Bombyx mori: one gene and its partner. Each later gene encodes a partner of the first gene's protein in a complex. Links are inferred from orthologs where the notes say so. Each region holds a gene or a part of one and is shown on either strand. Other genes may lie near its edges.

Region 1 (4,449 bases):
TGCCTGTCTCTTCTTGCTACAATATCAATATTGTTAGTAATGTCAACACTGTTTTCGAAACTATATCTATTAAACGAATATTCAAAAGACAATATATTATCACAGTTACTCTGAGTTTATATAGTGCAACATAATATGGAGTTTATATATCTGTTATAAATTTTATTGTTGTATTTTGTTATTCAAGTATGGTAAACAAATTTTAAGCCTCTTGTTCTAAATAAGCTTACATCAAATATAATTTCAATTTCATTGGGAATGTCATTCAAGGAATTTAGAAGCAATGTTAATGTAGTTTAATATCGAAAAAGGATGACTATTTCATCCACATAATTACCTTTTTACCTCCCAAATCCAAGGCACTTACTTTTGTCGTAATTTCATTAACCTCCTTGGCAACACTAACTATGTTTTTTAAAGTTTCAACAACATCTTTTACAGTCATATCTTCATTTTGTTTCACAGAATCATCTTCTTTAAGTTCTTTTTTTACAGAGCTTTGCACATTACTTTCACCATCGGCAGCTCCTTTTTTCTTTAACTGTTTGGCAGATTTCTTGGCAGCTCTATCTGCTTTGATCTGTTCTCTACTAGTACTTATATCTACAGCATTAGGATTTATTACAACAGATTTGTCTACTTCATCTGTGCTTTCTACTTTAGGTTTAGAATTTATGTTGTTTTCATTAAGATTCTCTATTTCTTTTGTCAGTTGAGGATTTTCAGTGGTCTTGTTGTTTACTTTTAGTTTGGCAGCTTTTTTTGCCTGTCGAGCAGCTTTAATTTCATCTCTAGACTTTGGTGGGATTTCATTAGAAGACATCTTTTGTAATATACTTTCGTCAAAATCTTTTATGACTACTGAGCGGAGGGCATCCTCTACTTTGTATTCTTGTTTATTATTTTCAATTACTGCTATATGTCCTTGTTCAGGATTATTTTTTGTTTTGTTTTGTATTTTATTTATCGTACAAAGGATATCTACACAGTCTGTTTTGGCAAATCTTAATCTATTTCTTCTAATTCTTCTCCTTTGAGTTGCAGTGAAAGGTTTCTCAGGTTGAACCAGATAATTTTCAGCATCTACCTACCATATCAACATATTTATTAGTTACCATTCAAATGTGTTTTCTTTCATTTATTTAAATTGCAAATTAAGTGCTGTTGTTACATATTTACTAGAACATAGATATGTGAATGTCATAATCTCTATTTGAGTCATGAGGTCAAAATTTCAACTATGATGGTTCTTTCCATATAATCATTATAATAATATGGATATATTCTTTGAAATATGCAATTCTCAATAGGGAAAGTGCACTATACTTAAAATAGACATAGCAACATTGACAACATTAAGCAACAGTAATAAAAACTCAAAAATAATTCAGAACAGTACAAGTCTTGTGATTCATATTCTGATATTACATTATACTGTGATCTAATGGTTTAAAAAAAAATTTTTTTTATTGCTTTATTTCACCAAGTGTTAAATGAAGATAAAATTGGATAAAATTGAATAAATTGAATATGAAAATAAGAGATAAACGTAATATATAAACTAGAACCACTTCGCAAAACTAAATGGTGCTACAAAATAATTATTACTTTTAATGGTTAGTACATTAATTTAATAAGTAATAGTATTTGTTTAATCATACAAAGATTTTGTATACCACAGGAATTAGTAAATGCCACTAATTAATTATTACATTGAGAAACAAACAACACTTCAAACATAAATTACTTTCTATTGGCTTATCATCAGTTCACAGTAATAATATATTCAGAAAATTCAATTTTAAGATTATGTTTCCAAGTACTTAAGAGCATTCTTTTTGTTTTGTCTATAGGTTCTAGTTACTGGTATCAGATGGCTGTGGAAAAGTTTACACATCTAAACTAATATCTAAAAAAATTCCATTCCTCTTTTACTCAGGGCATTCAATTAAGCTAATTTAGGAACTACACAGTAAGCTACGCGTGATCTAGTCTACTGGTTAGTGGTTATCGATGCAATAAAACAAATACAAAAAATAGCTACTATATTGCACTCTGTAGCTCTAATATTGTATCATGCCAGAAAATAATTTACTACTTATTGTAAAAAATCTTGTTTAATATGATGATATATTTTAATAAATTAAAAACAGACATGAGTTTATTTTTTACTTTTGATTGTAATAAAAGTTGATATAGTTATAAAACCTAACCTCAAAGTGCAATATTTCTATTCATAAATCGTATACAAAATCTGTACATTTAAGACATTACCATTTTTTCTGTTCCTTGGAAAGCTATAAAAGATATTAAAATTAGATATTTCATTTCAGTTATTAGTTATCCTAGTCCACGTAAGCGAATTGTGCATATTAATAAAATGCATTTGTTTGAACAATACTTTTGCAGACTTAAAAAATTCACACAAACGTTTAAAGATGCGTACAGTGTTTAATTTACTTACCAATGAGGTATGTTAAGGTCACAAATGATCAATCTATTGCATATAAACACTGTAATATTTATTAATTGACAGGTTATCTATCTATCTATCTCTTAGGTTTATGGCGTTTCCTTTTAGATTTCGCCAATGTCAAGTGTATTTAATACTCTGCTTTCTATAGCGGGCTTCGTGAACGAGCAAGGTCACAGATATTCACTAAGAATTAAGTGAGTAGCTAAGAATGTTTGATGACTGGATCTCTGTTGATTTACCTAAAACAATATACATACTACATACATTGACAGTTTACGAAAAATCCGAAGAAATTGAAGTTTAAATGTTGAAACTTCAATATTTTTCTGAACATTATGTGTATTATCTACGCTCTGAAGCAGTGCTGTCAGATGTCCGTGTGAATTTCACCCCGACTTCTTTCGAAAACCTCTGGAAATGAGCTTTTTAAAAAAAAAACCCAAGACAGTTTTTACTTATTTTAAAGAAGAAATAAAACCCCAAAAGTACATATTCCTTTATTTTTTAATCAATAAAAAATTATTACAATCATATTCACTTTTCTTATTATTATTTAAAGCATACACGTAAAGATTTTTAACATGTCCGATGTGGGAACAAAAATGCATCCATTTGGCAGTGAATATCGAATCCTGAGAACCGCTTCCGCACTTTCTATTGCCATTCGGTTGCGTAATTTGTCCTTTATAATATTGACTTGTGAATAGTATAGTAGACTCAAAAAACCTCCGATACTCCCAACTAACTTTTCCCCCCGAATGTCTCCCCAAATAATCTTACTACTGCAAAGCACTGCGCTTATCCATCATGCGTGCGTTTCCAGAGATCTTTTTCGGTATTATCTGGTTTATGAATGAACTCCCCTTGACGGTGTTTCTAGAATATGTCCATCATTAATGTTTTAGAATACCTAAAGAAATACTTTAGCGCGTGGCACGTTTGGCTATAGTCAGTGACAACTAAGCATTTGCAATATGTGTCCATTTCGAAAAAGCGGCACGACACGAGAATCCTCTCATCGTGGCCGCCGGTAATTACATTCGCGATCCTGCGGATCGAATAGTAAACAGTCGACGTCGCCCAAAACACGTCATTTCGAATCCTCCCGATCCAATAACGGTGCTTTTAGGTACCCCAAGCACCGGTCATCGTTCTCGTGGAACCCGTCACTTGCGACGAAGGGCTCGGTGAGTAATTTAATCCACAGACAGACACAGCCCACTGAGTTTCTCGCCGGATCTTCTCAGTGGGTCGCATTGCCGACCCGGTGGTAGATTCTGCGAAGCACGGCTCTTGCTGGGGTTAGTTTTAGCAATGTCGTCAGGTTTGAGCCCCGTGACCCCGTGAACTCGCCTACTTGTTAGGGTTACGCTGAAATGGCCTCCCAAGACCATCAGCTTAGGTAGGAAAAAAACAAAGTGTAGGCAAGGTAGTTAAGTCTTAAATATGTATTAAGTGTATTATTTTGGTAGTTATGTTTGGACCTCGCTCTACTTAGTTGCAGTCTAATCATAAAGAGTGGAAAGAGGGGTTATAAGTCAGATTATGTTATATTTTTAGCTCAGTTTGTTGGATAATCTAGTGTTTCAGAAATTATTTGACACCTCAGATTAGGGATGTGAACCGATTACAATTTCTGGCTCCGGTTTATTACCGGTTTTTTTAAGGTATTTTTAGGTTTTTTCCATAAAGGCTAAATAATCACTAAATAAATCAAATTTACGCGCAAACGAAGAGTTTTCTTCATACAATTAATTGGGTGAGCAGATTTTATATAGGCTTTTAATGATCATATTTAAATTATCCAATAATAATAAAAAAATTGATTTAATACAATAGTATTAAATCAAAATTTTGATGCAAGAAGCATCGTTGGTCCACTGCGTCATCCAGAAGCCTGCTCCTTCTGGATGTTAGCACGTACCCCGACGTCGAAAACATACGTTCGGAAGGCACAGAAGTTGCTAGGACTG
Region 2 (4,581 bases), on another chromosome or scaffold:
ATGGGCGTCAGCAATGCCAGGGGCAGAGTCAAGCCGCTGCCTACAAATAAAACTTCACTGATTGCATCTAAAACAGAAAAAAGCGAGTCGAATATACTGTGAATTCCTCTATTTCACTAAGCTCCCCTCATTACCATCATCTACCGCTAAGGTGTTTTTAAAACATTCATTTATAAATAATGTGATAAACTATTGCAAAGGAAATACCGAGAGTCAAAGTTCATTTCAGAGACTGGCAGTACTGGCAGAGTACTCAATCTTTGGAAACCATTTTTTTTATTGCTTAGATGGGTGGACGAGCTCACAGCCCACCTGTTTTTAAGTGGTTACTGGAGCCCATAGACATCTACAATGTAATTGCGCCACCCACCTTGAGATATAAGTTCTAAGATCTCAATATAGTTACAACGGCTACCCTATCCTTCAGACCGAAACGCATTATTGCTTCACGGCAGAAATAGGCAGGGCGGTGGTACCTGCTCGCGCGGACTCACAAGAGGTCCTACCACCGGTAAAATACTAATAATAATCGGTCTAACTACTCCGGTTATGGGATTGTAGAAACAGATTACAGAAAAATCTCAAACAGTTCTCCGCATCATGATCAGAACTGGAATAACTATTATTATACACCTAAATTAAATCCATATAGTTTATAGATTTGTTTTTCTGACCATACTAATTTGCTGCAGCGTAAATTAGCAAATGGCCAATAGTAAAATGACATTGTCAAGGATGCGTGAACGCTTACAAATATGCTATCTTCCCGGAATAATCGAGACGTAATCTTCATATTGTATGCGGAATGCGATAGGTTCATAAGAGTTTTAATTGATGTTAATTGTTGTGACAAATAACGCACGTATGCTTAATGAATTAGGCCAAGTATATGTGCGTTTAATATTTTCTTTTATTATTTATAAAACCTCACATAAGGATTTTTAATGCTCTAATGAACCTACGTCCATTTATAATTAAGCCGTTATTGGAGCCCAGAAACCTCAGGAACAGTAACTTTGGGGTGCCTTGAGGCTCCCTTGACCTCTAACACTAAGTAGGCCAAAGGAACCGCCCGTTTCATCAACTAAAAAATATATTTGAAATTGTTCAAGTCAATAACGATCAATTGAATATTCAAAGTCAATTGCGGAAACTTTGTTCTATTGAACAGAAATAGGAAAGTCGGTCAGTAATTTAATTATGTATTCAATACAATTGTTATAATGACTAATGAAAGTCCAACTTTTTTAAACGTAACTTCGACCAAAAATTCATCAATTACGGTTTTTAAGAGACCTGATACAATATTTTACGATCAGATGCCCTTTTTTACATTTTAGCCATCGTTAAACTTGCCTCTACGGGCCTAAACTTGAGTCCACTTCTGGTGAATATGAGCTGAGCGGATAATTTCAGAGAACATTAATAAATTCTAATTTAAATATGTCAACGGGTTTTGTTGCAAGTCCCGCTACACCAACACAATGGATCATACACTTAGTATTTAACATCCAACACCCAACCTTTACGACACGACTACCGCTACGTTTCATTTCACGCAAATACATTTCAACAAAGTTGATACAATAGACTTTGACTTTTTCTAATTTGTGACAGATGTCACACAACGCAAGCCCAGACAGAAGGACATGAAGCAAACGCTGAATTTCGTCAACGTGAACAAGTTGACTGTTTCATCATATTCTTTCTTTATCTAATATTTAACAGACAAAAACGAATTAAATAAATACACAAGGTAAATTAATACTGTATTCTCAATAATTAATACCAGAATTTGTGACACAAAGTTTTCATATAGGTTATAAATATTCTCAATAGTAAATACCAGAATTTGTGACACAAACTTTTCACATAGGTTATAATAAAATCAAATTATTCTAGATGCCTTTGTCGTGTCGATTTTATCAAGAGAAATATCCGGAAGTTGAAGATGTGGTGATGGTGAACGTTAGATCCATCGCAGAGATGGGAGCATACGTCCACCTTCTAGAATACAATAATATAGAGGGCATGATCTTGCTATCTGAGCTTTCCAGAAGACGTATCAGATCCATTAACAAATTGATCCGAGTGGGAAAGACTGAACCGGTTGTCGTAATCAGAGTGGACAAAGAAAAAGGTTAGATATTGTTTAAAATAATAATAAATTTTTTTATAAAATTGCACTCCATTTTTCGCTTCAGTAAAATATTACCATTTGTGCTTTGGAAAACAGGAATTAAACAAACCAATATTGTCATAAACTAATTTATCAAATCAATGTTTTATCCACTCAGTCCTCAAAGCCAATGGGTTAATATTGACATGTCATTCTCTGTATTAATAACAAAGTACACATTTAATTGAAATATGATATGACAAACTAGCACCAATCACCAATATTCCAAATGATCGCTTTTAATTTTGTTATTTCCTTCAATTCACAGGATACATAGACTTATCGAAACGTCGTGTATCTGCTGAAGATATATACAAGTGCACAGAACGCTACGCAAAAGCAAAAGCAGTAAACTCGATCCTGCGACATGTAGCAGAGCTCCTCCATTATGAAACTTCTGAGCAATTGGAAGAACTTTATAAAAAAACAGCTTGGTACTTTGAAGAGAAATATAAGAAGAAAGCCTCAGCATATGACTTCTTCAAACAAGCAGCTGTGTAAGTGTACATCTTGAGTTAAAATGATAAGGTTGGTGCTTATGTACCCCCAATTGTGGGGGCTTCGTAGGAGGTTTGGCCCCCAGACTGAAAAAAAAAAGAAAAAGGGTGCTTGTGTAATTATCATTATGTCCAAATGGACCAAAAAGTCAATTTAGTGTAGAATGAATACTACTTTTGCTTTCTTCAGCTCTCACACTCTGCACTCAGAAACTATCACACTTCAATAGGACATGAATTACTGTGTACTAGTCAGCTGCTCACAACCTTATGTATTTGTGACTTATATATTTACTAGGGCTTCCTATATGTTACCCTTGAGTAACCCTTCCCTCAAATTTCTCTAAACACTGAGCTTTACACAGTTTGAGTGTTGCAGTGGCTCAGTGCACTGTCTAACACAGCCTTTCCCAAAGTGGGCGATAACGCCCCCTTGTGAGCGCTGCAGGCCGAAAGGGTAATAGACCCAGAAAAAATGGGTGTGTAGAGGCTTGGGAGGTGATTTGTAATTTCATCTAGGAGGACTCTTAGACACAGACTCAGTTCTCTCTATAGTGGTTTTTAAGAAGATGAAAAAACGGGGGCACTAGAATATAATTAATTCTCAAAGTGGGCAGTAGACAGAATAAGTTTGGGAACCCCTGGTCTAACAGATTTGTGCTGCCAGTCCGAAGGTAGGCTAATTAGGTAGTTTAATTATCTCTATGACTATGAAAACTGAAGAAAATATTATGAACCATTAATTTTGAGAAAAAGAACTGACCTTAATCTTGTGAAATTGAAATATGTTAATACACAAAATAAAAAGTGCTATATTACCTAATTGGAACAAGAAGAAAGTTGTTTCTATGCAATATGTTAATGTTCCAGAGACCCATCAGTACTCGATGAATGTGGCTTAGATGAAGAAACCAAGGATGTCCTCTTAGCTAATATTAAAAGGAAACTGACCTCGCAAGCAGTGAAGATTCGTGCTGACATTGAGTGTGCTTGCTATGGTTATGAAGGCATTGATGCTGTACGAGCAGCTTTGAAAGCTGGTCTAGCTCTGTCTACAGTGGACATGCCAATCAAAATTAATCTTATTGCCCCACCTTTGTATGGTAAGTGTTTGATTTAATTTTCGTTTTTAGATATATTTGCACTAGATACTTTGTGTATGATAGTGTATGATAACAGCGCATCCTAAAAAGATTTGAATGTCCTAGAAAGATGGATGGACTATTTGAGAGAATATGCAAGAGAAGGGTATGGAGTTTAGAGTATGTTCTGATCACACTGTAGGATAAGTCCAAGAAGAAGATGATTGATGGACAGAAATATTGGTCATTATGTACTCCAAACCACAATGGTAGACTTATAGTAGAAATCTGCAGGTATAATTTTAGTATACACAAATTTCTTTATTAAATTTCATTAATTGTATAGAGGGATAAATGAGCTCACCCAGTGTCAAGTGTTTACCGGAGCCTATATATTTCACAATTTGAAAAACTCTATTTAAAGATTTTTTTTCTTAACTGAATTGCCCTTGTAGGCAGACGAGCATACGGCCCACCTGATGGTGAGTGGTTACCGTCGCTCATGGACTTCAGCAATGCCAGGGACAGAGCCAAGCCGCTGCCTACCGAAAATTATTACATAACTTGATTACTGTATGTCTCACTAAGCAAAGTATAATCATTTAACTAAGGTTTCTTACAGTAATGACTACCTCAACTCCTGAGAAGACTGACGGTCTCAAAGCATTACAAGACGCAATCGACAAAATTCAAGAGAACATCACAGAAGCAGGTGGAGTCTTCAACATTCAGATGGCGGTAAATTCTCAAATTCCTATTTATACAACTTTATTGGTTTAGCTATATGTTTCAATATGAAAAAGATTGCTAAATTTATAAATAA

The links.
Region 2: the proteins of translation initiation factor eIF-2B subunit delta (region 1) and eukaryotic translation initiation factor 2 alpha subunit are in contact, whole or in part, in a cryo-EM structure (PDB 6O81), measured with the Homo sapiens proteins. The link is inferred for Bombyx mori from reciprocal best matches to the Homo sapiens genes EIF2B4 and EIF2S1. Residues at the interface, in NP_001029288.1 of Homo sapiens: Asn245, Glu246, Glu247, Arg250, Thr285, Ser520, Ser521, Asp522; in NP_004085.1 of Homo sapiens: Met30, Tyr33, Met45, Arg55, Arg57, Arg75, Glu79, Lys80, Tyr82.

Annotation. Positions count from the first base shown.
Region 1 is NC_085111.1:2,906,109-2,910,557, forward strand, and holds the start of translation initiation factor eIF-2B subunit delta, read right to left. Parts: upstream 2,807-4,449; 5' UTR 2,465-2,806; intron 2,298-2,464; 5' UTR 2,278-2,297; coding exon 2,275-2,277; exon of another isoform or gene 2,214-2,274; intron 1,088-2,213; coding exon 338-1,087; intron 17-337; coding exon 1-16. UniProt on the Homo sapiens protein: Acts as a component of the translation initiation factor 2B (eIF2B) complex, which catalyzes the exchange of GDP for GTP on eukaryotic initiation factor 2 (eIF2) gamma subunit.
Region 2 is NC_085126.1:6,530,370-6,534,950, reverse strand, and holds the start of eukaryotic translation initiation factor 2 alpha subunit, read left to right. Parts: upstream 1-1,594; 5' UTR 1,595-1,756; intron 1,757-1,902; coding exon 1,903-2,140; intron 2,141-2,447; coding exon 2,448-2,676; intron 2,677-3,546; coding exon 3,547-3,779; intron 3,780-4,380; coding exon 4,381-4,496; intron 4,497-4,581. UniProt on the Homo sapiens protein: Member of the eIF2 complex that functions in the early steps of protein synthesis by forming a ternary complex with GTP and initiator tRNA. This complex binds to a 40S ribosomal subunit, followed by mRNA binding to form a 43S pre-initiation complex (43S PIC).